4 linked regions of the Elephas maximus indicus genome follow. The protein of the gene in region 4 binds, or shares a complex with, the protein of the main gene of each other region. Links are inferred from orthologs where the notes say so. Each region holds a gene or a part of one and is shown on either strand. Other genes may lie near its edges.

Region 1 (7,926 bases), on a different chromosome or scaffold from region 4:
AAGCTCCACAGCCCCAAAGTCACTGCTGACCTCTGGAAGCAATAGAGATATTTAAAGGGGAAAGCCTTGGGTATTGTCAGCACACACACCTGCCATTCAAGGTGCTGGATGGCAGGCAGAGGGCCCATCTATTGGGGCAGGACTTCAACCTGCTGCTCCCAGCCTCTCCCAGTAGTATGCCATGCTGTACCACCAGGATCCTGCCTAGCCTCAGATAGGAGAGAACAGCTACAAGCCCTGGAATGGGTCACTCACACAACATACAGCATTAAAGCTGTGGGGCAGGGAAAGCTCATACGTCAGAAGGTTCTTCTCCATGACCCCTGCCCTTCCTGGGGGCTCCAAGACAAGTCAAAGGTCCTCTGGGTCATGCTTGGGGTGGCCTGGTGTCTTGGTTACCTCTTCTTCCTCCTCTTCATGCTCCTCCTCCCCTTCTGTTTTCTCTTGTCTATCTGTGATCTCCTCCTTTCCAGTCCAAGTTTCCTCTAGACACGCTAGGTTGGGTGACAGAAGATGGTTTAGATATTGGTCCTGGAAATAGGGGAGGTTGTGACCTCGCAGGAAAGGAGCCCAGCCCACACACTTACCAGTTTCTGCAGCTGGAAGCACGTGCCTTTTACAGAGAAAATGCTGTAGGGGCTGCTCCTGGTGGTGGAAGTACCAGTCTCCCACAACGTCTTCGAACTCCTCCAGCATTGTTTCACACTAGTCAGGAGGAAGGGCCAAAAGGGCGTCTGTTCTGCTGGGCTTCGGAAACCCTCCTCTCTGCTCTCCACTTCCTGTCTCCCCTATCCCACCTGGCTGACCTTGGAGAGGCAGGCAGCCTGGGTTTTAAGCTTGGCTTACTAGATGTGTGATGCCCATTCACTCAATAAACATTTCCTAGCACCTACTCTGTGCCAGGGAGTTTATTGAACTTCTCTGAATCTCAGCTCCTTGCCTGTAAAATGGGGAATGGTAATAGTACTTGCCTCAAGAGGTTGTTGTGAGGGTAAATGAGGCAGCAGCTGGGAAGTATGGCCTCCTGAATCTGGCACATAGCAAGTGCTCAATAAGCAGTTAAAAAACCAAATCCATTGCCATCGAGTTGATTCCAACTCATAGTAGCCCTATAGGACAGAGTAGAACTGCCCCATAGCGTTTCCAAAGAGCAGCTGGTGGATTCCAACTGCCAACCTTTTGGTTATCAGCCGAGCTCTAATCAGAGCTCCCACAATAAGCCGTAGGGGTTATTTATTAGCCTCTGTTATCACTTCTTGGTATTCTCCCAAGCCCACTTCAATTCACGGTAGTCTTCATTTTACCACTTCTGCCCTCTTCTCCCTGCTCAGAGGTAGACGTCTCCTACTGTCAAATTCTAGGACCCAGTTCTCCTCTCAGGTCCCCTTCTCCCCCCTCGGGCAGCACAATATCTTATCCTACCTGCTTCTTGAGGAACGTGACCTCCACACTGGGCTCGTCCCACAGCTCCAGAGGTATCCCCAGATCCACCTTCACCCCCTTCTGAACCAGGCCTCTCAGCGTTGCCATGGTCTGACTCTGGCCCTGAGAGATGAGGAATTTGGGTTCAGAGATGTAGTGGGGTGCGGGGGTTAGATGGGTGCAGAGTGGGGCACTTGCCCCGAGATGCAAGTTGAAGGGGGTGCCAGATGACATGCGGAATAACATTTCGAGGCGCCACAAATATGAAAACTGGCTCAGCCAGACAAGAGGCGATAAGGTGTTTCTGCTGACAAGTTGCCACTATCGAAGGCTATGCATCTTGAAATTGGGGTGGGGACACAACTTAGAGATCGCCTCTGGGTGCTCAAATTTGGGGAAGGCATGTAATATAGAGATTGCCCCTGGGTGCTTGAATGTGAGGGACTCCAAGCAACTTAGAGATTGCCCCTGGGCACTGGTTACGCTCACTATACCCCTGTATGGGATCAGCCTGCTGGCCACCTCTTTCTTCCTCTTTCCCACCATATCCACTTTGTCAACTACTGGAGACTGAGGAGTGAATTCCATGAAGGTGAGAGGGGGGAGTCTGATGATGGGAAGGGGACACTGGAGATGGGGAGTGATGGGCAGACATCTCTTGTGGACCTCAGGGAATATAAGTCTTTGTCTCTAAGAGGTGGGATCCCCCACCATGGCTGCCCTGGAGAAGGGTCTGACCTTGGCGTATCTCAGTGAACCCTTGCGTTCAGCATGAACACTGTAATCTAGGATCCGCTCACATAAATTCTCCAAGGCCTCTTCCAGTCTTGTCTCCCTGTGGGAAGAGGGGAAATAAGGATTCCCTGGATGCTGTAGGAGTTCTCAGGGCTCTTACAGTGAAGGGACACCAAGGAAGACTCACGAAATGCTGTAAGGGACGTGTCTCTTCCTCTTGCCTGTGTCCAGCACCTGCCCCAGCTCCAGCATCTCTCGAGATCGACCAGTGCGGCTCAGCTCCTCCTGTAGCTCCAGGCTCAGCAGCTTACAGACTTACGGAATAAAGACGTTCAAGGAGATGTGAGAGAAAAACAAACACACCAGCACCTCATTCTGCAGATGACCAAAGGCAGCACAGCATGACGGTTAAGTATAGGCTCTGGGGCCAGTCTAACTGGTAGAATCCTGGCTCAGCCACTTAGTGGCTGTGTGACAATCTTGCTGTGCCTTGGTTCTTCATCTCTAAAATGGAGATAATGAAAGTATCTCCCTCAAAGGGGTACGGCGAAGATGAAATAAGTTAATATATGTAAGGCCCCTAGAATAATGCCTGGCACACAGTGAGCACTGTATATACGTTTGCTGTTATTTTGCAATTATTTATTGAGTGACTTTTGTATGCACACTAATATAGACAGCAATAAAACCCACAATCCCTATCCATGGGACATGTGACACTGCCAGTGTAGACAGACAGATGATGACAATATGGTGCAATGGACTCTACACTAGGGATTCAGATAAAGAGACATCCTCATGAGGAAACACAAAATTCATTCAACAGTGATTTCCTGAAGAGCAAACATCACTCCTGCTCTGCCACAGTATTTCCGGCACCTAGCACGCGACCTGGTACGTGGTGGGTCCCAATAAAAGCGTATGACCAATACAGAAGTGACAGGCAAACTAAATACTGGAGCAAGTAACAAAAGTGCCTAAAACGTACCAGGTGCTATGCTAGGGCTTGGAATACACAGACACACCCTGTCCCTCAAGGAGCATGATACAGTGGGAGGTGACACATGAGGAAAAAGACTTCCAGAGGAGGTAATGTTTAAACTGGGTCTTGAAGAATAGGTAGGTGCTTACCAGACACAGAAGGAGAGGGTCACTCCAGGCAAAGGGAAGAACAATGTGCAAAGGCAAGAGGTGCAAGAGGATAAGGCAGAGTCGGTGACCGGTGACCAGTGAGAAGTTCAGTGTGGCTGGGGCCGTTTTGGGATAGGGGATGGGAAAACGGAAATATAAGAAAGGTTACAGCAAAGATACTTAAGACACTATGCCCAAAATGTTAGCTGTATTCTGATCACAGTAAGAGGATTGTAGGGGTGTTAAAATAAGGACAAGCGGATGGACACGCTTATGTCTGTGTTCAGAAAGGATGATGGATGTTGCCGGGTGGAGAGAAGAGTGGGGACACAGAAGTGAAGGGAGAAGAGAGCTTAGGACCAGAGTCTGAGAAACACTGCTACTGATATGCAGTAAGGGATGAGGTGAAGAGAAAAAGGATCCAGGGAAGAAATTACCATCAGGAAGGCAACAAACTAGGGACACCAGGGCACCTGATTACCCAGCTCTGAAGTGCCCCTCCCAGGTTGGGCCCACACTAACGCAGCCACAGAAGATGCTGCTTGCTGTAAAATCCATACAGTGCACACCCTCTACAAGGCCTCACATCATAGGGAAACTCACAGCAGTGTGACCTCCTCTTTGGTTTATGAGCTTGAAGGGTGGAGTTGCTCACTCCCAGCCCCCCTCAGGGGTGCACAGGTCCTGTAATTTGAGAGCCTCTCTGTGGAGCTGGGACAGAGGATGTCCACAGGTATGAACCTCACACGTGGCTCCGGCACGCCCTCCAGATTTAGGTCCAGTGACAAGGGGCACGCACACACACACACCCGAAGATGCTCAGTACGCAGTAGGCAGTCCTGGGCATAGTCCCTGAAATACAATTCCCACAAACCATGGGGGCCCAACCTCGCAAGACAAAGGGGGCTCCCTCTGGATGTCTCATGGGAACTGTACTGCCATAGTCTTGAGATCGCACTATGCCATTCCCTTCCTTGATCTCTTTCGAATTTTGCCAAGTTCACCGAACCGCCTACAGGCATTCAAGAAGGTCGAGTGACCTATCCATCACGGTCCCTTTGGTCGTATCAGTCCTTTCTTTAACACCCCTGCAGTCCTCTTACTGTGAGCAGAATACAGCCAATGTTTCTAGCAATAGCATACAAGTCTCTTTACTGTATGGCCCCAACCTTTCTTACATTCCCATCCTCCCACCCTCATCCCAAACGCGCTCCCAGCCGAGGGAAGTGCGGCAGGGGGATACAGATAGATGCTACTCCCTTTAGATACCTTCGCATTTGCTGGGCAAGCGTTCTAAGTCATCGTCCTGCTCCTTCGGCGTTCTGGCCCGAGCCCCAAACACTGCCAAAACGAAAAACAACGTCCCCAAACGCACAGGTCCCATGACAAAGTGCGGTCCACGAACAACCATTCTTCTATTTCCGAACCAACTTTTGCAAGGCAGCGGGCCCTTTAAATTCAGAGGGAGGGGTGGACGGCTGCTGGAAATCCAGCCTAGCAGCTCGAGCGCGTGCGCAGTGCCCACCGAAGGAGGCGGGGCCTTACGTACTTCTGGGCTTCCCCGCCCAGGTTTGGTGGCGCCTCCTGAAGGTCCTGGCCGACGGGTAGTGAAGGAATAAATCAGAGTAATTGGGACGGGAGAGAGTACTCCTTCCCACATATTTAGAAACAGTGTTTTTATATCATTTCAGGACGTAAGGCTAGGGGACTCGTTCCAGCTCCGCGGAGGGGCCGTGTATTGTTGTCCTCTGCCCGGACCTGCTCCCTAGAGGGGGCGGGCCCAACATGGCGCCCAGCGCCGGGTGAGCGGCGCTTTGGCGGCGGTGAGAGACTTTGCAGGCTTGGACGCTCGGCTGGCGGGGGTGGGTCTGAGTGATACCAGGGACAAGACCCCCAAAAGGTCCCTTGTGGGGACCGGCAAGAGGACGGTTGGTTGTGTGTCCCTGCGCGTGGGGACCCCCGTGTGTGTGTTTGCATTGAAGGATGTTGGGGGAGATGGGGTGGGCTCTCTGAGCCTTTGCTCGCACTGTACCCATTGCCTGGGGGCCTTCCCCCCACTTTCTCTGCTGGGAAAACTACACAGCCTGGAAGACGTAGGTCAAGCCAGCCCTCTGGGAAGCCTTCCCAGTGCCTCCACTGATCTGAGGGGCTTCTGAGGCTGTAGGGAGTTTTATGAGCCCTCATTGCACACCTGTATCTATAGGGCCCAATGCGGGGGTAGCAGAAAGACAGATACGTAGTCAACCTCCAGTGGGAAACGTCCTGAAAAGGACCAGATTCTGGGGACAACGGCGGGGGAGTGATTAGTTCTGTTGGGGAGTGGGGTGGCTTCGCTGAGGGGAGGTGAGTACCGCTGGATGTTGGAGGATTGATAGGAATTCTTGTGTACCCAGCACCAGGCACAGCATATGTGTTGAATAAATGTGTTCCCTACAGGTACATAAAAATGTAGCTATAAAATGGGAGAGGAGACCTGGGATGGTTTGAGAAGAGCCAAATTCTCCTGCGTCTTGCACCTTCCCCGTCTCCAGTCCTCCTTCACGCTCCCCTGCCCCCCAAGTCGGTGCTGAACACTATTGACCTGTATCTTCCTAATGTACAGCTCCAAGTATACTACTTTTGATCACAGAGTAGATTCCAAGCTTGGGCCTGTATCTTATTCATCTTGGCAGTAGTGATGCCGAGTATTTATTGAACACCTACGTGGTATATACAAACATCTCTAAGCCTTACAATTCATTCAAATATTTATTGAGGGTCTACCTTGCCTTAGTCATTGCCTGGGCTCTTGGAATACATCAGTGAACATAACAGACAAATATCCCTGTCCTCATGGAGCTCACATGGTGGTAGTAAACAATAAGAAATTATAGAATATATTAGATGTTAAATGCTGGCGGGGGGGGGGAGGGGAGGAACAAAGTAGAGCAGAATGAGGGTGGGATGGAATGTTAAATAGAGTGGTCACAGTAGGCAGCCAAGCAGATATCTTGGGGAGAGCATTCCAGGCCAAAGGAACAGAGCAAAGACTATAAATCAAGAGTATGCCTGGCAGCTTCAAAAAACAGCAAAGAGGACAGTGTGGCTGGAGGTGGAAAAGGGAAAGAAAGGAAGTCAGAGATAAAATGAGGATGGGGCAAACCATAAAAGCCCCTGTGGGCCATTATAAGCATTTTGGATTTTACTATAAGGCAAATGGGGAGCCATTACAATATTTTGAGCAGATAAATGACATGATGGGGTTTACATTAGATGGAATTATGTTGGCTATTAGGAATAGTTATTAGGAATAGATGTAGGTAGGTGAGGGTAGAAGCTGGGAGACCTTGTTAAGAAGTTTTTGAAGATATCCTGGGAAGAGATGATGGTGACGTGGGCCAAGATGTTGGAAGTGGGGGAATCAGAGTGGGTCCGATGTGAGGGTTCAGATAAAGATTGAGTGCCTGCATGGACGGCACTGCTGTAAGTGAAGATTAGGAAAGCTGAGCCTGGAACAGGTGGGTAGAGATCAGGAGTTCAGTTTTAGTGGAGCTTTTGAGGAGGCAGTTGAGTATACAAGTCTAGAATTGGGGAGAAAGATCTGGGCTGGGGATATAAGTTTGCCCCATAGAAGTGGTTGAGATCACCAGAGAAGTAAATGTAGCTAGAGAAGAAGACCAAGGACTGAGCCCAGGACACTCCAAAATTAAGCAGACAGAAAAGGAAAAACCAGTAAAGGAAACAGCAAGGGAGTAGCCAGTGAGGTAGGAGGAAAACCGAGTGCAGGTAGTCTGGCAGTCAAGTGAAGAAAAGTATTTTCAGAAGAAGGCAGTGGTCAACTGTATACTGCTGAGAGGTCAAGTAAGGTGAGAACCTTGGAGTTAGTGATGTGGAATCGTTGGTGACCTTGACAAGAGCAGTTTCAGGGACATAGTGGGGGCAAAAGCCTGCAGTGGGTATAAGAAGGAAAGGAAAGGAATTAGAAAGGAGTTCAAAGTCAACTCTTTCAAGGAGGTTTTTTTTTTTGTGTGTGTGCTTTAAGTGAAAGTTAACAAACCAAGTCAGTCTTTCATACAAAAACTTATATACGCTTTGTTATATACTCCTCGTTGCTCTCTCTGTAATGAGACAGCACAATCCTTCCCTCCACTCTATTTTCGTATCCATTCAGCCAGCTTCTGACCCCCTCTGCCCTCTCCTCTCTTCTCCAGAGAGGAGCTGCCCCCAACATCTCATGTGTCTACTTGATCCAAGAAGCTCATGCTTCACCAGTATCATTTTCTGTCCTATAGTCCAGTCCAATCCATGTCTGAAGAGTTGGCTTTTGGCATGGTTCCTGTCTTGGGTTAACAGAAGGACCATGACCTCTGGGGTCCTTCTAATCTCAGTCAGACCATTAAATCTGGTCTTCTTATGAGACTTTGAGGTCTTCATCCCACTGCTCTCCTGCTCCCTCAGGGATTCTCTGTTGTGTTCCCTGTCAGGGCAGTCATCGGTTGTAGCTGGGCACCATCTAGTTCTTCTGGTCTCAGGCTGATGTAGTCTCTGGTTTATATGGCCCTTTCTGTCACTTGGGCTCATAATTACCTTGTGTCTTTGGTGTTCTTCATTCTCCTTTGCTCCATGTGGGTTGAGACCAATCAATGCATCTTAGATGGC
Region 2 (7,288 bases), on a different chromosome or scaffold from region 4:
CAAGCAAAGAATTGTCGATAGGTAAGCTAACACTACAGATGATATATTCCAAAGTAGAAGCCTGAGACATCTGTGTGTATTAGGGTCATCAGGGAGGGCTTTAAGAAGTTAAGACCTAAGCCCAAGTAGAATGAGAGAAGAGACGGGCAGAGAGAAGGGGGCACAAAGTACAAAGCCATTGTAGAATAAGGAGGGTCATAATAGATGAGTAAACATAAGCACACATGGGGTTTGGAACATTTATACCCTCTGCAGCTTTAAGCCCCCATTCCTGCCAGTTTTACTCAGTCACTCAAAGAGCTGCACCAATGCAGGATTGCAGTTGGCAGGACTGGTGGGGTGGGAGACGGCAGCTAAGACAAAAACCAACTCTAAAGTTTTGATTCTATAGCCGTATTAACGTTATGACTCCACAGCTAACTCAGGGTCCTTGAAGTGGGGGTACAGAGGGCCTACCTTTCACTATTTCTAAGCCTAAAAAGGGAGGACATGCTGACCTGGGATTATTTAAATGCATGGTCTCATTTGCTCAGAAATCTTTCACTCATTTTAACCAGAGTCACCACTGAGATGGTTGTAATTAATGACACACCTATTATAACTAGTGCCTGCACATCCTCCCTGCCCCCAGGAGTCGCAGGAATGAGAGGCTAGGGCAGTTCTAGGCCTTCTGCTGTTTCAACACCACACACAGGAGTAAGTCAGGCGTCAGCTCTTTTACTCAGGAGAATGGAGACACCACCCACCCTTTATGACAGACACAGAACACATACATGAGCATGAGGCCCAAAGTAAAAACACTGTGCTCAACGGAGATTTCCTAGTCTTGCAAAACTATGTGACAGCTAAATCTCAACAAAATTCCAACAGTCCCTGAACGAGGGCACTAAGAGTGACTTGACCTGTACTTGGGGGGAGGAGATATATGAAAGTTTCTCGCTTCAGCAGAGTATGCTGCAGGTTTAAGACATCTCTGGCAAACCTCCAAATACTGCATCTTTCCATTCATTAGAGGCAGACACATCTCCAAACTTCTATAGTCTTTCCCCATCTCTCGGACATCATAACTGCAAAGTATGGAAGTAATCCAGGTAAGACTCAAAACCTGATTCGTACATTCAATGCACATTTACAGAGCACCTGTGAGTTGTCAGGCACTGACCTCAGTGCTGGAAATATAAACATGAGAAGGGCTAAGTCATTCTGAATTCAGATCCATCCATTATTTTGCTTTATCGCACCCAACCACAGTCAAGGCTCCAGGTGGGAAATTCTCCTTAAGAGTTGGAATTGACTCAACAGCAATGGGTTTGGCTTAATTTAGCGTTCCACTAGCGCCATTCCTTTCCCACTTTTGTGCTTCTAACCATGGTGTGCCCACCTGGAAAGCTCTAGCTCACAGGACTTCGCCTATCCAAGTCCTTGCATCCTTCAAGGCCAGCTAAAGTCCCCCTTCTCCTGGAAGCCTCCCCTGACCCCCATGTCATCCAAAAGCAATCTCTCCTTTCTCCAAACTACTAACAATTACAGCGAGTACCAATCAGTTTATTTAGAAATTTATGGTTTTCTACTTCATGGTTTTATTTATTCGTCAAATATTTAGTACTTACTATGTGCTGGCATTGTTTTACAGGATGGGGAGACAGCAGTGAATAGCACACGGTTTTGCCTCCCAAAAGACGCTCCTGGGGAGAGTTAGTTCCCTTACACTGCTTTTTAAGATCCTTCTGTATACACCTGGGTTGGTACTCAGTGTTTAAAACTTAACAATTTATTAAAACCTCGTTCAAGCACATTCAAATCGCAGTTAAATAAACTAATGGGGAACAAATGCTAACGAAGCCATTTCTAAATGAACTTCCACATCTTAAAAACCTCAAAGAACAAGGAAGGAAAAGAAAACAGGGTATGAAAGCGCTGCTGAAATAACAAAATTTAACTCGCAGTGACGAAGGACCTTCAAACCCCCTTCCAAGCCACAAACAGTGGCCTTTTCCTTCAATCCTTTCAACTCTAGACCTAAGTGTTTATTTTAACAACAGATCTTGGAAAAGTTTAAAGAACCCCTCCGTTTCCTAAACAACTCTTTCTAAATCTTTATTTCTTGATGAATAAATCCCCTGATGAATCCTGCATATGTCACTAACAGACTAATCCAGTGAAGTGCAGTACAAGGAACTAGAATTCGAACTTCAAGCGCAAGGCGGGCTCAAAGAAGAACACTTTGAATCTGACAAATCCAAAGACAATTTTAATATAAACAAAAGCCAGGTCCTGCAGAGCCTGGAAGAAGGTTTTAAGTTCCTAAAGAATCAACAGAATTTCTTCCAGGAGAGCCGCGAAATTCTGCAAGGCGTGGGAGTTTCGGCAGGAGGTGAGGGAGGTTTAAAATACTTATTTTTTTGCTCTAAATCGGCTTGTGAGATGCCACAGCTGGCACCCTATACCGGGTAAGGGTGAAGCCGAGCTGTGCCATGAGGCGGAGGGTGCCACCTGGGCACTCCCACCATTCTTCGCACCCGGGTAGGACACGGGAGGAAAGCCCGTGGCCGCGCGGACCCGGACCAGCGCCCCCTCCAGTTCTCGGTCCGGTGGGCCGCCTGTCCTCGCCCCGCTCAACCCGCAGCCCACCCCGCCCAGGTCTCAGGAGCCCCGACCTCTCTGGGGACCAGGAGATGGGCGGGAGAGGGGGATCTCCAGGCGGCGGCCCGGTCCCCGCGCGTACCCACCTGAGCAGACTGGAGAGGGGGTGGCTGGAGGAGCCGAGGCCGCCGCCGCCGCCGCCGCCGCCGCCGCCGCCGCCGCCCCCGGAGCCGCCTCCGCCGCCGCCGAAGCCGGAGGAGAGCCGCTTCCCGGACAGCAGCTTCTCCACCGCCGGGAGGTGCCCGGTGCGGGCCGCCTCCAGCAGCTCCTGCTCCTTCCCCATCCCCAGGGCCGACGCCCCCTAGACCCCAGCCCCGGGGCCGCAGCAGAGCCCGAGCAGGCTCCCAAACTTTCCGTCTCCGGGCAACGCACCCCCCAAACCGGCCGGGGACACCACCCCCCTCCCCCCCGCCTTTTCCCCACGCGCGCGTCACTTCCGGGATCTGGCGTCACGCGTCACCGCGCCCCCGAGCCCCGCCCCCTTGCCCACCTAGCTGGGCGGGGCTGGGAGGGCGGGCTCAGGTGGCTGGGCCAACGCGAAGTGGACTCCGCTGTAGGGATAGGGCTCGAGGGGCCAGGGGACGACACCGTGTGGCCATTCGCTATCCAAGTGGAAGGGGACAAACGAGGTCTACCTGTACACGCCTCCCAAAGTGCGCTCCTTTACCGAAGGTTTTGGGAGCCCACGGGACAGGAAATACGGTAATTCATCCAGGCAGTGCAGAAACAAAGAGAGAAATATGGTAACGCGCACCTACATTCCCAAGTTTATTCTTTAAGCACGCACAAGTTAAATATCTAATGGGCGCGGGGACCTAGTGATAGGTGAATAAAACGTGCCCTTTTCCCGGACTTTATTAATGAGCTCGAAGGAGGAAACAGAGGAAGGTTTTAAAATAGATCTATTCTCACCTCTTCGTCCTCCCAATTCCTGAAATGGCTCATTGAGTGAAACATCAAAGGAGAAAATTTGACCCCGAAAGGATTTGTTTCCTTTTTTTTTTTTTTATGAGATTAACCAAACTGACATAAAAAGGCAGATTTGTGAAACCGGCCCCGAACTTTCCAGTTACTGGTAAGTTGTAAACATCATTTAATTGGGTAGGAACTGTTTTGTTCACTGGTTCCTGGTTCGAAGTAGGCGCTCAAGAGTTGTGGAGTGAATAAATGCAGTGGATAGTTTCTGCTCAATCTAGTATTACTTTTTTTTTTTTTTTTAAGTGCATGCGGAATAGAAATGTTAGCAACTCATTGTAAACCCGGGCCCGCAGTCTGTTTAATTGAAACGTACGCGGTTGAGTCTCTGCCTGGAAGTTTGCCAGTCAAAGGCAGCCGCATCCCGCGGCACGAGCACACAACGGAACTGAGTTTCCTTCCATATCCCCGCAGCTTCTTTACTCAGCGAGTCAGGTTAACGAGGGGGTTAACTGATATTGCATTTTTTAAAAGGCGGAAAGGAAAAAGAAGCCCTTCAGTAAACAAAAGTGCGCGCCTTCACAAAAGCTGGTTACCCCGGAGCGAAGGATCCACAAACTGAACTCCGTACCCCCAATTTTCCCTCACCCCACCGCCCCACAAGAGTTAAAACAGATCATCAAAAGCCGCTCTACGTGCCCCCAATTGACCCCTCCGCCGAGCGGTAGGGGTGATGTCATCACAGCGCGACGACAGGAAGTAAGCTCCGGGGCTGCTGAGCCGAGCGGGGTTCAGCGCTCCCGCGTCTGACAGCGCCGCGGTCTACTCTCCGCCTCTCGCGGAGATGGACAATGCCTGCGAGTCGCCCACGGACAAAGGTGGAGAGACAGGGGAGTCAAATGAGACACCCGCCGCTCCCTTGGGTCCCGGGAACGCCAACACGGACGGAATACCCGAGGAAGCTGACGGGGACGGAGATGGGGAATTGAAAGAAACCCCGGTGGAAGAAGGCGAGGTAGGGAGGTGTGTTGTTTAGGCGGGAGGAGTACACCGAGACTAGGTTACTGGGTGCTCGCCAGGCTTCTTGGTTGGTCCCTCCTAAGCTACAAGAGCTCAAATTCACAACACTGTCTAGATCGTCAGTCATGGGAAAAAAGCCTAGTGCTGGTTACATTCCAGAGGCCCACGTACAGGGTTAATATTTTTAATCCCTACTCTTAGGAATTAAACTACTTCTAAGGGAATTTTAAACAGTCTTTGGTGAAGAAGTTAGGGCCCGATGTCACATCGAGACTTAGTGCAAGAGCCAGTACTAGAACCCAGGATTACCGGCTATTGGCCTAGTATCTTTTTCACCAAAATATGAGTCCTCTTGTTAGCTGCCATAGAGTCGGCCAGACTCATAGCAACACCATGCACAACAGATCGAAATACTGCCCGGTTCTGCACCATCCCCATGATGGGTTGTATTGGACCATTGGGTTGTATAGGGTTTTCATTGGTTGATATTCTAAAGTAGACGCCAGGCCTTAAATCTGTCTTACTCTGGAAGCTCCACCGAAACCTGTTCAGCATCATAGCTACAGGCAGGCCTCCACTGAGGGAGTGGCAGTGCATGAGGTCCACTGGCCGGGAATCCAACCTGGGTCTGCCGCATGGGAGAGTTCTACCACTGGGCCACCAGTGCACCCATGGGCACTCTTAGATGTTGGTTAAGCATAACTTTTGTCTTTATAGATGACAGAACCGATAAGATCCCATTAAAAGGAGACTTTGAAGAGAGACATTCTTACTCTCTTGGGACATTTAACTGCTACCAAGTACAGTGACCTGTGTGCAAATGTCAAAGAGTCTATAGAGCATAAAAACGTCAGACCCATCGGTTATGCCACCCCCAGAGCTCAGAGTGTTGCCTAGCTGAGGATCTGCCAAGTGACCAGAATCTCAGCATTCTCTGTGTTTCATTTCTAGAGATAGAATCTTGGGGTCTTAGAGCTAGAAAGGACTTAAGAGATCGTGGAATCCACATTAGATTAGATGGAAATAGCCTTTCGGGGCACAAAGTTGCCTCCAAATATACAAAGTAAGTTTTAGAAAAAAAGATGTGACAAAAACTATTTTAAGAAAGAGCCTTTAAAAGATGTCCCAAGGACAGAAAGGATTTAAATAATAATTAGCTTGGTCCAATGGAGAGCTCTACCATCTGTCTGTTTGTTGTACTGTAGTGGCTTATGTGTTGCTGTGATGCTGGAAGCTATGCCATCGGTATTTGAAATACCAGCAGGGTCACCCATGGTGGACAAGTTTCAATGGAGCTTTCAGACTAAGACAGACTAGGATGAAAGGCCGGGCAAGCTACTTCTGAAAATTATCCAGTGAAAACCCTATGGATCACAACAGAATATTGTGCGACATAGCACTGGAAGATGAACCCCCTAGGTTGGAAGGCGCTAAACAATAGCTGTAACAATGGGATAAAACATGCCAGTGATCACAAAGATGGCACAGGACTGGGCAACATTTCAATATGTTCTACATAGGGTCGCCCAGGAATCCAGGCTGACTAGATGGCAACTAATAACACCACCTAGCAATAGAGAACTCACTACAAATAGAACTTTGCAGCCAACAGAGAATATAGGTTCTTTTTTGATACTTCTGAAACACTTTTAAAAATTGATCATGTACTAGGCCACAAAGAGAAACGTAAATTCATAAATGTAGAAATCATAATAGGCCACGTTCTGTTAGTACAGTGCAATTGTTATTCTTGTTAGTTGCCCTAGAGTCGGTTCCAACTTAAGGCAGTAAATCCTGAAATTAACAATAAACTAATCACTGGGTCATTTTAAATAGTCCTTAAAGAAATTAACAAAAAGAACAGTCTGTATCAAACACTATGGAATTTGACCAAAGTCTAACTTGGAGAAAAATTCACAGCCTTAAATATTTTTGTTAGTGAGTGAACAATATCGAAAATAAGCACCCAACTCAAGAAATCAGAAAAAAAAAAAAGCAAAATAAACCAGAAGAATGTAGGAACAAAGAGCTAATTAGGATAAAAGTAAACATTAGCGAATTAGCCCTTGAAAAACGTTAAGAAATCATAAAGTTAAGACCTGATTATTTGAAATGTAAACGTACAACATTACAAAATAAGAAAGGGGCTATAAGCACTGATATGGAGATCCTTAAAGTTAGGAGAAAATTTAATGTTCAAGTTTAGGCCAAACAAATTTGAAAACCTAAACCCAAACCTGCCGTCGAGTTGATTCCGACTCATAGAAAATCTAAGAAAAATGAATGATTTGCTAGGAAAATATAAATCACCAAAATTGAAGCACAAAGAGGTTAGAATTTTTATATAAATCATTAACTAGAGAAGAAATTTGAAAAGCATGTCTATCTTCACTCCCACCCACCCTCCATTCCCATATTCCTGTATGAGTTTAAATGTGAATTCCTCTTTAAGGGAAACAGGATAAATCTCATTCGTGAGTTTTGTTGTACCCTTAGATTCTGTATTGACTTCAAGAGGATAAAGTTTGTGTGTGTGTGTATATATATATATATTTTTTAATTAAACAGAATTTTATTGAACAACTAGCATGAGTAAAAGTCTGTTAAATGTTTATGGGGGAGATTTATAAATAGTAGGAGACTATCTTCAATAGTTTTCATTCTAGCAAAGGGAAATAAAAGGTTGCTTGATACAGTAGAAAAGTTAGTT
Region 3 (7,374 bases), on a different chromosome or scaffold from region 4:
TTGCAGTCCTGGATAGGTGCAGATGACAAGGTAAACAAGGTAAGCACACGTTTACTTGTGTTTATTTACTAATCTGTAGTGAAATTGTTTGCTACAGATGATCTGGTAAGCAAGGTAAACACTATGGTTACTTGCTTAGTGGATAATCTGCCTCTCAGTACATATTACTAACTGTAAGATGTACAAAAAAAAAAAAAAGAGGATGATTGTAAGTGTGGTTCCTCCTAACTCTAATATGTCATTGGGGGACTACCTGTATATTATTATCAAGCTACTAAACTATTTGACATAAGGAGCCCAGGTGGTACACTCGGCTAATAACCAAAAGGTTGGTGGTTTGAACCTACCAGCTGCTCTGCAGGAGAAAGATGTGGCAGTTTGCTTCTGTAAAGAGTACAGCCTTGGAAACCCTATGGGGCAGTTCCACACTGTCCTAGGGGGTCACTATGAGTTGGTAACAACTCAGTGGCAATGGGTTTGTTTTTTGGGAAGCTGCTTGGCATCTGGGGTCTTAAAATCTTGTGAGCAAGCAGGTATCTAAGGTACAGCAAATGGTCTCCATCTGACTAGAGGAACAATGAAGAAAAGAAGCTAAGAAACCAATTAAAATAATGTTTATTTCACAAAAAGTTACCCCACCAGAGGCATAGCTAGGGTAATGAATGCCCAGGGGTCATCTCAAGTCAAGGCCTTGCACAGTCTAATCCCAGCCTCATCCCAGCTTCATTTCCTGTATCCCTACCCAACAAACTTGTCTCTGGCAACCCATCCAGAGCATCTTGTAGAAACATGCCGTGACTTTTCATTCTGTGTTTTATTTCTGCTCTGCTCATCGTGCTGCAACTTTTTTTTCACTTTATTTTCTATTTTGGATTTCAGGTTCAGTGTATAATTATTCATGCCCCATGGTTTGTGACTATTGTAATTGGCCCTTCCAAAGCCCTTCTCATGTTATTAAGCTATTTATTTCCTTTTATCCCTATTCCTATTCCTCCTACCCTGCAACGTTTCCAATGTGTTTAATGCCTATGCTTTTGTTTATATGTTCCTGTAAAATGTATATTGTTTTGTGTGCATATAATTTTAATTTACATAAATGGTATCATGCTATAGTTCTCATTGTGTATTGTTTTTTTACTTAAAAAAACAAACAAACACTGCTGTTCCATCAATTCCAACTCATAGCAATCCTATAGTACAGAGTAGAACTGCCCTATAGGGTTTCCAAGGCTGTAATCTTTATGCAAGCAGACTGCCACCTCTTTCTCCTGTGGAATGGCTAGTGGGTTCAAACAGCTGACCTTTCAGTTAGCCGTCCAGCTCTTATAGCCACCACACCAATTAGCTCTATGTGTTTAAGCTGCATCCATGTTGCTAATATTTTCCTTCTGACTGCTGCATAGTACCCCTTGGTGTGCACCCAGCACAGTTTACCTATCCACTCCCCTGAATGAACACTGGTGTCTTAGCCATCTAGTGCTATTATAACGGAAATGCCACAAGTGATGGCTTTAACAAACAGAAACTTATTCTCTCACAGTCTAGGAAGCCAGAAGTCTGAATTCAGGGCGCCAGCTCCTGGGGAATGCTTTCTTTCTTTGTCAGCTCCTGGGGAAGGTCCTTGTCATCAGTCTTCTTGCTGATCTAGCAGCTTCTCTGTGGAGGTACCCTGGGACCAAATAATTTGCTCTGCTCCCAGCATTTCCTTTTTTGGTGGTATGAAGTCCCTCTCCTCTCTGCTCGCTTCTTTTATATTTCAAAAGAAATTGACTCAAGATACAACCTAATCCTGTAGATTGAGTCCTGCCTCATTAATATAACTGCCTCTAATCCTGCCTCATTAACATCATAGAAGATTTACAACACATAGAATAATCACATCAGATCACAAAATGGTGGACAACTGCACAATAACAGGAATCATGCCTAGCCAAGCTGACACACATCTCGGGGGGACACAATTCAATCCCTAACAACTGGGAATATTTCATACCTGACCCCCTGGACAAGTCCAGTCTTTCATTACTGCCTAATATAGTGGTTCTCAGTCCTATCGGACTCAATACCAAAAAAAAAAAAACAAACCAAACCTGTTGCTGTCTAGTCGATTCCAACTCGTAGTGACCCTGTAGGACAGAATAGAACTTCCCCATAGGGTTTCCAAGGAGTGGATGGTGGATCCCAACTGCTGACCTTTTGGTTAGCAGCCAAATGCTTAACCACTGCACCACCAGGGCTCCACTGAACTCAATAATCCCCCTTAAATAACAAATATAATGCCCCTTTTATTATCCTGAAAATGAAATTCACAGATAATAGGATCTACTAGGGTAGGTGGCTTCTAAGACAGCCCACTGTGATCCCCGCTTCCTGGTATTCTCACCCTATGTAGGATATCGCTTCCAAGATTAAGTTCCAAAAAGATTGTGTCTCCTGCCTTGCATAGTCTCCCTGGCTGTTTTGCTCACCTTCTTTGAGAAAAGCCAGCTGCCTATGGAATCAGTTCATATGCCTATGAATTGTCCTATGGAGAGGACCATGTGACAGGGAACTGAGGGAGGACTCCAATAGCTGATGAAGAACTGAAGCCCTTAGTCCAACAGCCCTCAAGGAATTGAATCCTGCTGACAACCACGTGAGTGATTTTGAAAGTGGATCCTTCCCCATTGACCCTTCAGATGAGACAACACCCTGACTGCAACACTAGAGAGACCTTGAGTCAGAGGTGCCCGGATAAACTGCATCCAGATTTCTGACCCACAGAAATTGTGTGATAGATGTTGTTTTAAGTTAGTACATTTTTGGGTAATTTATTACACAGCAATAAATAGCCAATACACCTACTGTCTTAGTCATCTAGTGCTGCAATAACAGAAATACCACAAGTGGATGGCTTCAACAAACAGAAGTTTATTCTCTCAGTGTCTAGTAAGCTAGAAGTCCAAATTCAGGGTGTCAGCTCCAGGGGGAAGCTTTCTCTCTCTGTCGGCTCTGAAGGAAGGTCCTTATCATCAACTTAGTCTGGGAGCATCTCAGTGCAGAAACCTTGGGTCCGAAGGATGTGCTTTGTTCCTGGCACTGCTTTCTTGGTGGTATGAGGTCCTCATGTCTCTCTGCTCACTTCTCTTTTTATCTCAAAAGAGACTGGCTGAAGACACCATCTAATCTTGTAGATCTCATCGATATAACTGCTAATAATCATCTCATAGCGATAGGATTTACAACACATAGGAAAATCACATCAGATGACATAGATTGGCACAATTCAATCCATGACACCAACCAATTTCGGGGTACTAGCATTCCTAGAAAATTCAATGTACATTAAAAGTGTAGGGAAGTATTTTTGTATTTATGTTAGCAAAGCTAGGTTCTAAGCTCAGATAATATAGTTTTTTCACTCACATGAATGTTCAGTAGGACATTCAGAAATCGTGTGTATTACGGAACAATTTTCACATTTGGCATCATCTGTAGCATTGCAGGACATCTCATATTCCTAGCCCTGGCCCTCTAATGATCTTGGTTTTCCTAATCATTGTTACGTCCAAAAAAGCCAAAACCTATCGCCCATTGTCGTGGACTCACAGTGACCTTATATAGGACAGAATAGAACTACCCCATCTGGTTTCCAAGGCTGTAACCTTTAGGAAGCTGACTGCCACATCTTTCTCGGGAGAAGCGGCTCGTGGGTTGCAACCCCCGACCTTTCAATTAGCAGCCCAGCGCTTAACTATTGAGTCACCAGGGCTCCTTTTCATGATCAAAAACCCTAGGAGGTGGTATCGCCCCTTGAGAACTAGTAACGAAGCACAATATCCCCAATAACTAACACTGTACTTGGCAATAAATGATAGTGGAACTGTAAATGGCTGAAATTGTTTAAATACACCTTCAACCAATTCAGGAGCCCTGGTAGTGCAGTTGTTAAATGATATACGGTCGCTAACCAAAAGGTCGGCAGTTCACATCCCGCAGCCGCTCCTTGGAAAACCTACGGGGCAGTTCTACTCTGTTCTATAGGGTCGCCATAGGTCTGAATCGATCGGACCGCAACAGGTTTGTTTTTGTTTTTGCTTTCCATCAGTTCAAGGACTGCTGGCTTGTCCCTCAATGGCAGTACCGAATCAGGAAAACAGTAGTTCCCAACTTAAAAGCAAATGTAGGCTGACGACGAAATACACGCCACCTAGACATGACTGCCTTCTCTCTGCTGTTTTTTAATTCTTTCCTCGGAAGGACGGACCTCGCCCTTCTTTCGTTAGAGATTGTTCCCGTTAGGCCTCCAGACAGGACTACTGGCACTCCTCCCCGGCGGCTGCCCGGCTAGGCCCCGCCCCGCGCCTGACGTCACAGGAAGTGAGGAGGCGGAAGTAGTAAAACCCATTTAGAGCGAGAGGTTGGCTGACTGATGAGATGGCAGATGAAGAAGAAGACCCTACCGTGAGTGACCGCCTCTGTGCCAACTCTCTCTTTTCTTCACTCCTTCAGGCTCAGTAGCGGCGGCTTCTGAGGCCGAGTTCAGAATCAAGTCTGTTGCCTTAGTGATTGAACCAAGAAAGTTTGGGGACCTCGCGCCTCGCCCTTAAACAAAAAAGAAGGGAGCCCTTAGGATTCATCTTTTTAGTACGTGGGGCAAGACGTGAAGGAAGAGTAGGAAGGTAGCACCTTTCCGTTTGGTTTTGGTTCATATCTTCCAGACACCTTTTGGAGCGTGTAGAGAATCATTAGAGTTCAAAGCCAATATTTGTTAGAGCTCGTTATGAGCCAGCAGTTCAACTAACAGAACTTTACTTACTTTAAAGTAGTGAAAAAATAATGAACCGATATCAGGGAGCTTGGATTTCAAAATTTGTTTTCTCTGTGAGCAAGTTATTTAACCCTGAGCTTCGGTTTCCTTGTAACATGGTGTTAAGGCTTACTTAAGTAAAGCTCCTAGTACTATGCTTAGTAAATACTAGTTTTGCTTACTACAGTGAGGTAAACTTCGATTCAGTACAACTCTTTTTGACAGTAACACTGTCTACCAATAGGTCAATTTGGTTAAAAAAAAAAAACTTACAGTCATTGGAACTCTTCAGGAGAGCCAGTGGGATTATTTGTTAGGAACAATGTAGAAAGCATTCCTCATGAGTCAGAAGTTGGACTAAATAGTCTTTAAGGCCTTGTCATTGCTAAGGTTTCATGATTTATTGCTTCTTGTGGGGCTTTCTGGTCTGAGACCAGTGTTGATAATGGGAAAAAAAATGGTAATCATTAAAAATCAAATGCAATGCAATCATATGACATTTCAATATATACATTTTAACTTCTAGTTTGAGGAGGAAAATGAAGAAATTGGAGGAGGTGCAGAAGGTGGACAGGGCAAAAGAAAGAGACTTTTTTCTAAAGAATGTAAGTTGTATTTGACAATGATTTTATTATAGATGATACAAAGTTTTGGACACATCCATTCATCAAAGTAGGTTTATCGTTCTGAATATGTTTCCCTGTAGGTAAAATGTTCTCACACTTGCCTATAACATCCTGTTTAACTTTTGGATAGTAATGGTCCTAACCCCAATTTTTATGTATATTTTAAGGAGGACATGTGACCAGTGTTTCAATTCAGCGCGTAAAAACATATCGCCATTACTTTTCCTGTCCTTCCCTTTTGCAGCAGGAGGAGCAAAAACTCCTTTGACTGTAAGTCACAGGTGAATCCTGGGAACACATGTGCTTGAGAGTAGGAACAAAGTTGGGGATTTGGACTGAGGTGGTGGACAAGGCAGGAGGGCAGGTGAACAGTGTGAGGCATTACAGTGCCACAGAGATAAAATGTATCGATTCTCTATCCTGCTCACTCAGTAGACAGTTTTGACCCTTTTTGGCAAGAGGGAAGGAGAGCTGCTGTGAGTACTGATCATCAAGACATACCCCCCCTTGTCCAAAGGCACCATGAGAATGTGCTCTCCATCTCCCATTCCAGGGTCTTTTAAATGTAGCTATGACCATGGGTATTGACAGATGAGGCAACACAGATTTATGAATACCTGGTGTATTTATCCTGGATCAGACATGAGCAGTTCTCAAATACTGTTGAAATCACAGGGTCAGTATGCCTTTTTTTTTTAAACCACATAAATCCTTCTCTGTATCTCAATTCCTCCCCTAACGCAGAGCTTACTTGACCACTCCTTATTCCATCTCTGATGCTACTTATGCCATTTGTATGTGGTTTTAATAACTATTATGTCAGTATAAGAAAGGGGACCCCACAACAGAGCATCTGGGAGTGATGCTTGCATAATTAGTTCTTAGCAGAGACCTTTGTTCCACGTCAGTTATCTTTGTGATGACAAGAATTTGGAATCTTCACAGCATTCTTGTCTTACCTGAGTGTTCATATATCTTAGTGATCAAGAGCTGTTTTCCTGAATCCTCTTTTTAGAAAAATTTTAATATAACATGAGATGTTTCAGAGCATTCACTGGGATTTGTTCATGCCTTTATAAACCCTTATACCAAATACAGTTTATATACTTCTAATATAAATTACCCTTTTCCAGAGAAACATATTTCCCTACCGGTGAATTCCACCCATCAAAATGAGAGCAAGAAAATAATCTCTCAAGATATTTAAGGAAAAATAGTAAATTTATAGGGGGCAAATCCTGGCAGATATCACTTTAACCAATTAATCAAAGTTAACATCACCAGTAATATATACTGATACGATATGATGCATTGAGAAAGGCAGATAGCCTCCCCTGGAATGCATAACCTCAACCTAATCATGGGAAAGCATCTGACAAACCCGGTATTCTTCAAAAGTGTCAAGGTTATGAAAGACAAGGAGAGACTGAGGAGCTGTCATAGATGGTAGGAAATGAAGGAGGTATGACAGCCAAATGCAGTGTGGGGTCCTGAGTTGGATCCTGGAACAGGATAAGGACATTAGTGGAAAACTAATATCATCTGAGTAGGTTCTGTGCTGTAGGACAGAGGTGAACTGCCATATAGAGTTTCCAAGGTTGTAATCTTTTTTTTTTTTTTATTGTGCTTTAAGTGAAAGATTACAAATCAAGTCAGTCTCATACAAAAATTTATATACACCTTGCTATATACTCCTCATTGTGCTCCCCCTAACGAGATACACATTCCTTCTCTCCACCTACTCTTTTTCTGTCCGTTCAGCCAGCTTCTGACCTCCTCTGCCTTCTCATCTCCCCTCCAGACAGGAGCTGCCCACATAGTCTTATGTGTCTAGTTGATCCAAGAAACTCCCTCCTCACCAGTATTATTTTCTATCCCATAGTTTAGTCCAATCCCTGTCTGAAGAGTTGGCTTTGGGAATGGTTCCTGTCTTGGGCTAACAGAAGGTCTGGGGGCCGT
Region 4 (7,868 bases):
GTTGTGATCTTACATTTGTGTGGTTACAGACAGACAAACACACACTTTATATAGGTTATATACAGGTACATGTTATATAGGTTTATAAATTACATACTTCTCAAAGAACGATTTTGCTTCATTCTCATGTTGATTGTAGACTAGCTCCAAGTACATATGCACAAACAGAGGATAAAAGAGTTGGGACAGCTCTGCCCGATGGCAGTCCAGTGAACATTCGATGAAGTGTTTAAGTCCACTATAGTATTCTTCATACATCGCAGGATCTCCTTGCTGGTTGTAAGCTGATAGCACAGCACTAACATCCGGCTGGTCTTCCACAGCTACACTTCCAACTGTTTAAAAAAGGTAAAACAACTTTCAAGAAAATGACCTGATGATATGTACCATGTGGCATGGCTATTTTGCTAAAGTTCAGGGGTGAGTTGTTGCTAAGATATGCTTGTCTCTCTTCTCAATTTCTCCTCTCCCAGCGTAATCACATGGTCTTCTAGTGGGAGTTTTCACTTTGTTTCATTCAGCCAGGCCAAAACCCTATATTTAGCTTATCCGTATCTTAAGATAAATATTGAAAATCAACAACAAAGATTCAATACTTTTCCTATAGTTACCTTATTTTACGTGCAAATTTTATAAAAGATGATATGTATAAATCAAACAACTATGTTAATCTTCTCCCAAGGCTCAGTGCAAATGGCATACCGCTCCCACCACCACCACCAGGAAGCCATGCCCTGGAGTAACATTCCCAGGTCTCTGTGCTGCCTAAGTACTTTGTAACTTTCCTGTAACATATCCTATCCTGTGTTACCCTCACATGTATACATCTATGCCCCTTCGAAAATGTAAGAATTTTAAGAGTGAGAAGGACCATGCCTTCCTCTAAAGATAATTAATTCAAATTGAGTTGTTAAAAACCAATTTCAATAACCACCATTTCAAAGCAGAAAACATGACTAAAAATACATTTAAAAAAACTTGTAACATAGCAATACCAAATAATGATATATCTGTCAGTTTAATCAAAGTTTGGTTGCTGAAAATTTTTGTAAGTTTCAATTATATTACTGGTATGCTCTTTACTGCATAAATGTTATCAATTTTTGTGGTTACTCTGATGGCCTGTTTTATTATTAGTTTCTCAGTTATGATCTTTAAAAACAGGCCAAGTTTCTGGAGAGATGAGAGATTATAGCCACATAACCAATAACACAATTCATCTATCTTATAGTTTATTAACAAAATTCTTAATTCACACTATTCAGAAAAGATTCCTCTCCATCACATTTTTACATATTTATATTTATGGATACAGTGCTATGTATTCATGCTTCACTTCTGGCAATGCTGCAAAGATTAGGTCTCATAAATAAAAGTTAACAAGGCTAGGGACTCTGCACTAGATAATTTAATTCAAAAAAGACTTATTGTTGGCTCAGGATCACCTTTGAGACCTTACACTATGTGTGAGATTAACCGCATGGACTTTGTGACAATAGTTGCTTGGGGGGCAGGGGGATATCAGGTGTCAGGGATGGATACCAAGGCATAAACCTATCAATGCCAATCATTCTATATACATTATATTTAATCCTCACAATAACCCATTTAATAGAAAAAAAAAACTCAACTCAACTTTAGGGAAAATAACTTAATTAGTATCGCACAAGTAAAAGAAGCAGGGACAGAATCTGAACCCAGGTCTGTCCAACCCCCTATTCCTAAACTAATGGTTCTCAAACTTTGCCATACATTAATACCCCTTGGAGGCATTGATTTAAAATGCAGATTCCCAGACTCCACCTCTAGAGGGTCTAATTCACTAAGCCTAAAGCGATGTCCAGAAATCTGCACTTTAATAAGCATCATCAAAAAATTTTAACACTAGTGGCACTTAGCCCATATTTTGAGAAACGCTGCCTACACTATGTTCCATCACTTCCTGACTAGTCCAAAGCAAGTCTCTTGACCTTTCTCGGTCTGTTTTCTCATCTCTAACATAGAGGCAATGTCTACCTCACAGTGGAACTGTGATAACTAAAATATGTAACTTAAAAAAAAAAAAAGTCCTTTTAAATTACGCTAGTACGGAACTGTACAAATATTGTTAGTGTTAATGCAGACCTGTCCAAGGCTCAGAAGCCCAAAAGCCCAAATGAGAGAAGAGGGGTCAAATGCCTGAAGGTCCCTGCCGCTCAGCGTCTACTTTCTCCCATACAGCCTCAGTACAACAGCTCTCCTCAGCATCTAGCTGAAACTGACAGCTCGGGAGAGGGTTTGACTGCGCAGCCGGAGCACCAGAGAAAGGGGCGGGCATGTGGCCCTAGAGGCGGGCCCAGGAAATTCAAAACAAGCCCGCAGAGGTGCAGGCCTGCCAGCCCCTGCGTTCCCGGCTTGCTCCCTTCATGCCAGCCCTGCTTCCCCGGGACTCTGCGGCTCACCTTTCCCCGGAGCCGCAGTACCTGAGGCTGAGCCCGAGACAGTGACGACCCCCGACGCGCCGGTGCTCGGAGGGTCGGGGGCTGCCGGGCCGGGGGCCGAGGCGGTGACTCGGCTGAGAAGTGCGCTAGCCGCCTCGGCCCCGGTACCGTCCGCTTCTCCTGGGGCTCCGGAGCCCGCCACTGCCTCCTCCAACAGCCGGGCTTCGCGGCGCAGAGCCTCTTCGGCCTCGCGGAGGTTGCTCTGCCGTAGGAACTGCAGCACTGCCAGCAGAGTCTGTCGGTCGTGGGGAGCACCGACCTCCGGAGCTGCGGCGGGCACCGGGGCCGCCCCCGCCGGGGCAACGGTGGAGACAGCCACCACGGGCTTTGGGGTCCCGCCATCCCCACCGGCCGACGACGCCGCCGCAACGTTCCCGCCGCCACCGTTGGGGCCGTTGTTGGTAGTGCCGCCGCCACCCTCGCCAGCGCCGTCCCCTGCCTGCGGAGGTAGCAGCGTTGGCGGTCCCTCAGGCTCTAGCTTGACCGCCACCTCCGTCTGCTCCTCCGCCAGCGCCGCCATCTTGCGGCTGAGCCAGTTCGCGCCGTCAAGCGTGGTTGCGTTTTCGCCACATGGAGGGCGGGGAAGGAGTATTTCACGACAGCTCTGGAGGGCAATTTACGGCAGTAGGAGGAGCGAGAAAAAAAAGGAGAAAAGGAATAGGAGCCAAGAGCAATTTTCAAAAGTGTAAAGAAAGGCAGGAAGTATGGTTTGGTGACCGCCTATTACATCTTGTCTGAAAATAGTTATCCTTTAATGCAGACCAGCTATATCCAGGTACTGTGAGAGACGTTTTACATTTTATGACTTCCTTTTACAGTCTTATAAAGTACTATTTTCTCGACATTACAGATGTGAAGCCGAGCCCCAAGGAGTTTAAATGATTTGAAAAAGCCACACAAGAAGTAAGCGACAGTGTCAAGATTCGAATCCAGGTCTTTAAGTCAAAAGCACATTTGCCAGGGAGAAGCTTCTGAAATACTGGTAATGTTTAATATTTGACCTGGACAGTGGTCTTTTTTGTCTTTTTTTAGCCATTTTTACTTTTTGTAGGAATTAAGCTACATGCTCAAGATTTGTGAATTTACAGCATATATGTTATGTTTCAATAAAAAAAAGTTTTTAAGTACCTGAATTTTGTGAAATGTGTACACTCTGCATTCATGCTGTTGTCCATTATTACAAATACACTGCATTTTAATTTTATACTTAAAAATAACATGCCATTTTGGGATATGCATCATAGGTTATAAACCCCTGCTGCATATTTTATTTCATTTGAGCCTCACAACTCTGGGATAGGTACAGATGAGGGAAGTGAGCCTGGGGCCTTGGGGTGATCAAGCACAATTGTTCAGGTTGTGGGTTTTGAGGTCTTACTGGCTTTGTTTGAATCCCTGCCTACCTCTTCCTAGCTCAATCACCTGAAGCAAGTTACTTAACTCACCATACCTCAGTTGCCTAATTTCTAAAATAATAATACCTACATCACAGAATTTTTTTTTCATAGAATTATTGTGAGGATTAGGTGAGAAAATGTGTATGTGATACCTGATGTTGTTAGTTGTCCCCAAGTTGATTCCAGCTCATGGCAAACCATGTGTGTGTCAGAGTAGAACTGTGCTCCATGGTGTATTCAAGTCTGTGACCTTTCGGAAGCAGACCACCAGGCCTGTCTTCTGAGGCGCCTTTGGGTGGGTTTGAGCCACCAACCTTTTGGCCAGTAGTTGAGCACCTATTTGTGCCACCCAGGGACTCCATGTGATGCCCAGCACATAATAAATAAACCTGTTGTCATGGAGTGGATTTTGACTCATAGTGACCCCATAGGGTTTCTGAAGCTGTAATCCTTACTAAAGCAGACTGCCACACCTTTCTCCCACAGAGTGGCTGGTGGGTTTTACTAACCTTTCAGTTAGCAGTCAAGAGCTTAAACCTTTGCACCAACAGGGTTTCTATTACATAATAATTAGTCCTTCATTATTTTTACTTCAGTTTAAAAGGTGTTCTGCAAATGTTTAATCAAGAAAGTCCAGTGATGATGTTCAGGATGTGGTCTTGGGACTGAAATATAAAACTAATTGGATGTCTTAAGTACAAATATGAGACATGGGGTGTAAAAAAAGAGAGCCATGAGCAAGAATTGGTTAGCCTTTACTCAGCACTGGCCAAGAGAGGGCAAACCTGAATCTGATGGTAGATTCTTGTGAGATGGGAAGAATTCAGCCTTTTTCTCAAACCCATTCAGCTTTCATTTTTATGATTCAGTACTCACTAATTAACTTAGTTAACTTACTTTATTAGTTTTCCAGGCACTACATAGATGGGAGAAACCATGAATAACAAGCTGAAATGTGCTTACTGGAAAGATGTTTTACTCCATTGTGAATAATAAATTAACATTCTGATGCATACATTAACCTCTTGAATCAGGTCCTGGGAACTGGATCCACTTGGACCAAGATGCTGGGTCCCACAAAAATACAGCAACCCCCTACACCCCGGCCCTATGAGGTCTACCTCTTCCCTAGCTTTCTCAATTAACTTTCAAAGGTTTAGGTTGGGACTTCTGCCAGGTTACTTACTCCATGTGCAATGATTTTTGCTACACCACAATAGAAATAAGTTTATTGAGTGCCTGCAAGGACCGTTTTTATTTTTTGCTTCTCATTTTCCCTTCATCCCTGTCCCCTACTCCCATTCTCCTCCCACTTCCTTCCAGGAGTCTTTGAGAAGACTGGCATCCAATTTCTCCACATCCTCACCAGCATCTGAATTTTGAATTATAGATAGAAACCCTTTCCTTTCACCCAGGTTATAGAGAAATTCACCCATGTTTTCTTCTAGAGGAACCAATATGATATTTTTTGTTGGTTGGTTGTTTTCCAATTAGATCCCTATTTAATTTGGGATTTAATCTTATCTTTTTCGAATGTGTTTCAGAGGTTCCATGACTTCTTCAAGTTTAGCAATTCACTGAAAGTGCTCACAAGACTTAGTCGCAGGTCATGCTCATGGTTAAGGATTTTTATAGCAAAGGATACAGGGCAAAAGGAGCAGGAAAACAATGTGCATTGGCAGAGTGCAGAGGGACCAGGCATAGGCTTCTGCATCTTTCCCATCCAGGGCCGCCCAGAATGTGCTTTCTCTCTAGCAGCAAACTACAAGGATCCAAGTGGTATGTCTGCCCAGAAAAGCCTGTTCAAGTTTTAGGGTCTGAATCTTTTATGTAGTGCTGGTCATATGGGAGGGAGCCCTGGTGGTACATTTCTTAAAGTGCTTGGCTGTGAACTGAAAGGTTGGTGGTTTGAACCCACCAGCTGTTCCATGGGATAAAGATGTGACAGTCTGCTTTCATAAAGATTTAAAGCCTTTTCTGATGTCTAAAATCTACATGATACTGCAAAAATTCAACAACAAAAAGACAAATAACCCAATTAAAAAATGAGCAAAGATTAGAGAAATGCAAATCAAAACTACAATGAGATTCCATCTCACCCCCAACAAGGCTGGCATTAATCCAAAAAACATGAAATAATAATGTTGCAGGGGGTTGAGGAGAGACTGGAACACTTATACACTGCTGGTGGGAATGTAAAATGGTACAACCACTTTGGAAATTGATGTGGCGCTTCCTTAAGAAACTAGAAATAGATCTACCATATGATCCAGCAATCTCACTCCTTGGAATATATCCTAGAGAAATAAAAGCCTTTACACGAACAGATATATGCACACCCATGTTCGTTGCAGCACTGTTTACAATAGCAAAAAGATGGAAGCAACCAAGGTGCCCATCAATGAATGGATAAATAAATTATGGTATATTCACACAACGAAATATTATGCATCAATAAAGAACAATGATGAATCTGAAACATTTCATAACATGGAGGAATCTGGAAGGCATTATGCTGAGTGAAATTAGTCAATTGTGAAAGGACAAATATTGTATAAGACCACTATTATAAGAACTCTAGATAAAGTTTAAACACAGAAGAAAATATTCTTTGATGGTTACAAGGGTGGGGAGGGAGGGAGAGGGATATTCACTAACTAGATAAAAAAAAAATTAGTAGACAAAAAAATTTTTTAGGTTAAGAGAAGGGCAACACATAACACAGGGATGGTCAGTACAACTGGACTAAACCAAAAGCAAATAAGCTTCCTGAGTACAACCAAAAATCTTCAAAGGCCAGAGTAGCAGGGACAGAGGTCTGGGGACCATGGTTTCAGGGGACATCTAGGTCAATTGGCATAACAAAATGTATTAAGAAAACAGTCTGCATTCCACTTTGGTAAGAGGCATCTAGGGTCTTCAGTACTAGCAAGCGGCCATCTAAGGTGCATCAATTGGTCTCAGCCCACCTGGAGCAAAGGAGAATGAAGAACACCAAAGACGCAAGGTAAATATGAGCCCAAGAGACACAAAGGGCCACATAAACCAGAAAATCCATCAGCCTGAGACCCAAAGAACTAGACGGTGCCCAGCTACCACCGATCACTGCCCATCCTGACAGGCAACACAGCAGAGAATCCATGATGGAGCAGGAGAACAGTGAGATGCAGATCTTAAATTCTCATAAAAAGTCCAGGCTTAATGGTCTGACTGAGACTGCAGAGACCCTGACGGTCCTTGTCCCCGAACCCTTTGATAGGCCAAAACTGGAACAATTCCTGAAAGCAACTCTACAGACAGGGATTGGTCTGGGCTATAAGATAGACAACGATGCTGGTGAGGAGTGAACTTCATAACTCAAGTAGACACCTGAGACTATGTGGGCAACTCCTGTCTGGTGGCGAGATGAGAAGGAAGAGGGGACAAAAGCTCATTGAGTGGACATGGGGAGTTCAGGGTGGAGAGGAGGAATGTGCTGTCTCATTAAGGCAAGAACAGCTGGGAGTGCACTGCGGGTTATGTATGGCTTTTTGTATGAGAGACTGACTTGATCTATAAACTTTCACCTAAAGCACAATTAAAAAAAAAAAATTACAGCCTTGGAAACACTATGGGGCAGTTCTACTCTGTTCTGTAGGGTCACTATGAGTCAGGATCGACTCGTCGACAGTGGGTTGGGTTTGGTTTGGTTCTTATTGAGGAGTCCCTGGATGGCTCAAATGGTTAATGCCCTCAGCTGCTAACTGAAGAGTTGGCAGTTCAGGTCCAACCAGAGGCACCTCAGAAGAAAGGCCTGGCATTCTACTTCCAAAAAGATCAGCCATTGAAAACCCTATGGAGCTCAATTCTACTCTGAGACGCATGGGATTGCCATGAGTCAGAACAACTCAACAGTTTTGGGGGCACATGGGAAATATATCTTGCTACACAGCCAGCCAGTCATGGCAACTGAAACTAAGGACCCATCAATGAAACCAGGTGCATGCACATC

What was found.
Region 1: TAF5 (region 4) and TAF6 share a complex: the UniProt entries of both Homo sapiens proteins name them as parts of the TFIID basal transcription factor complex. The link is inferred for Elephas maximus indicus from reciprocal best matches to the Homo sapiens genes TAF5 and TAF6.
Region 2: TAF5 (region 4) and TAF11 share a complex: the UniProt entries of both Homo sapiens proteins name them as parts of the TFIID basal transcription factor complex. The link is inferred for Elephas maximus indicus from reciprocal best matches to the Homo sapiens genes TAF5 and TAF11.
Region 3: TAF5 (region 4) and TAF13 share a complex: the UniProt entries of both Homo sapiens proteins name them as parts of the TFIID basal transcription factor complex. The link is inferred for Elephas maximus indicus from reciprocal best matches to the Homo sapiens genes TAF5 and TAF13.

Annotation. Positions count from the first base shown.
Region 1 is NC_064830.1:91,624,040-91,631,965, reverse strand, and holds the start of TAF6 (transcription initiation factor TFIID subunit 6), read left to right. Parts: upstream 1-4,918; 5' UTR 4,919-5,150; exon of another isoform or gene 5,151-5,216; intron 5,217-7,926. Other genes in the region: CNPY4 (protein canopy homolog 4), read right to left, coding at 352-494, 588-705, 1,423-1,545, 2,161-2,257, 2,345-2,471, 4,558-4,699. UniProt on the Homo sapiens protein: The TFIID basal transcription factor complex plays a major role in the initiation of RNA polymerase II (Pol II)-dependent transcription.
Region 2 is NC_064819.1:97,761,242-97,768,529, reverse strand, and holds the start of TAF11 (transcription initiation factor TFIID subunit 11), read left to right. Parts: upstream 1-4,285; 5' UTR 4,286-4,402; coding exon 4,403-4,573; intron 4,574-7,288. Other genes in the region: ANKS1A (ankyrin repeat and SAM domain-containing protein 1A), read right to left, coding at 2,730-2,926. UniProt on the Homo sapiens protein: The TFIID basal transcription factor complex plays a major role in the initiation of RNA polymerase II (Pol II)-dependent transcription.
Region 3 is NC_064821.1:172,516,716-172,524,089, forward strand, and holds the start of TAF13 (transcription initiation factor TFIID subunit 13), read left to right. Parts: upstream 1-4,355; 5' UTR 4,356-4,416; coding exon 4,417-4,443; intron 4,444-5,315; coding exon 5,316-5,394; intron 5,395-7,374. UniProt on the Homo sapiens protein: The TFIID basal transcription factor complex plays a major role in the initiation of RNA polymerase II (Pol II)-dependent transcription.
Region 4 is NC_064834.1:54,832,936-54,840,803, reverse strand, and holds the start of TAF5 (transcription initiation factor TFIID subunit 5), read right to left. Parts: upstream 3,001-7,868; coding exon 2,442-3,000; intron 336-2,441; coding exon 98-335; intron 1-97. UniProt on the Homo sapiens protein: The TFIID basal transcription factor complex plays a major role in the initiation of RNA polymerase II (Pol II)-dependent transcription.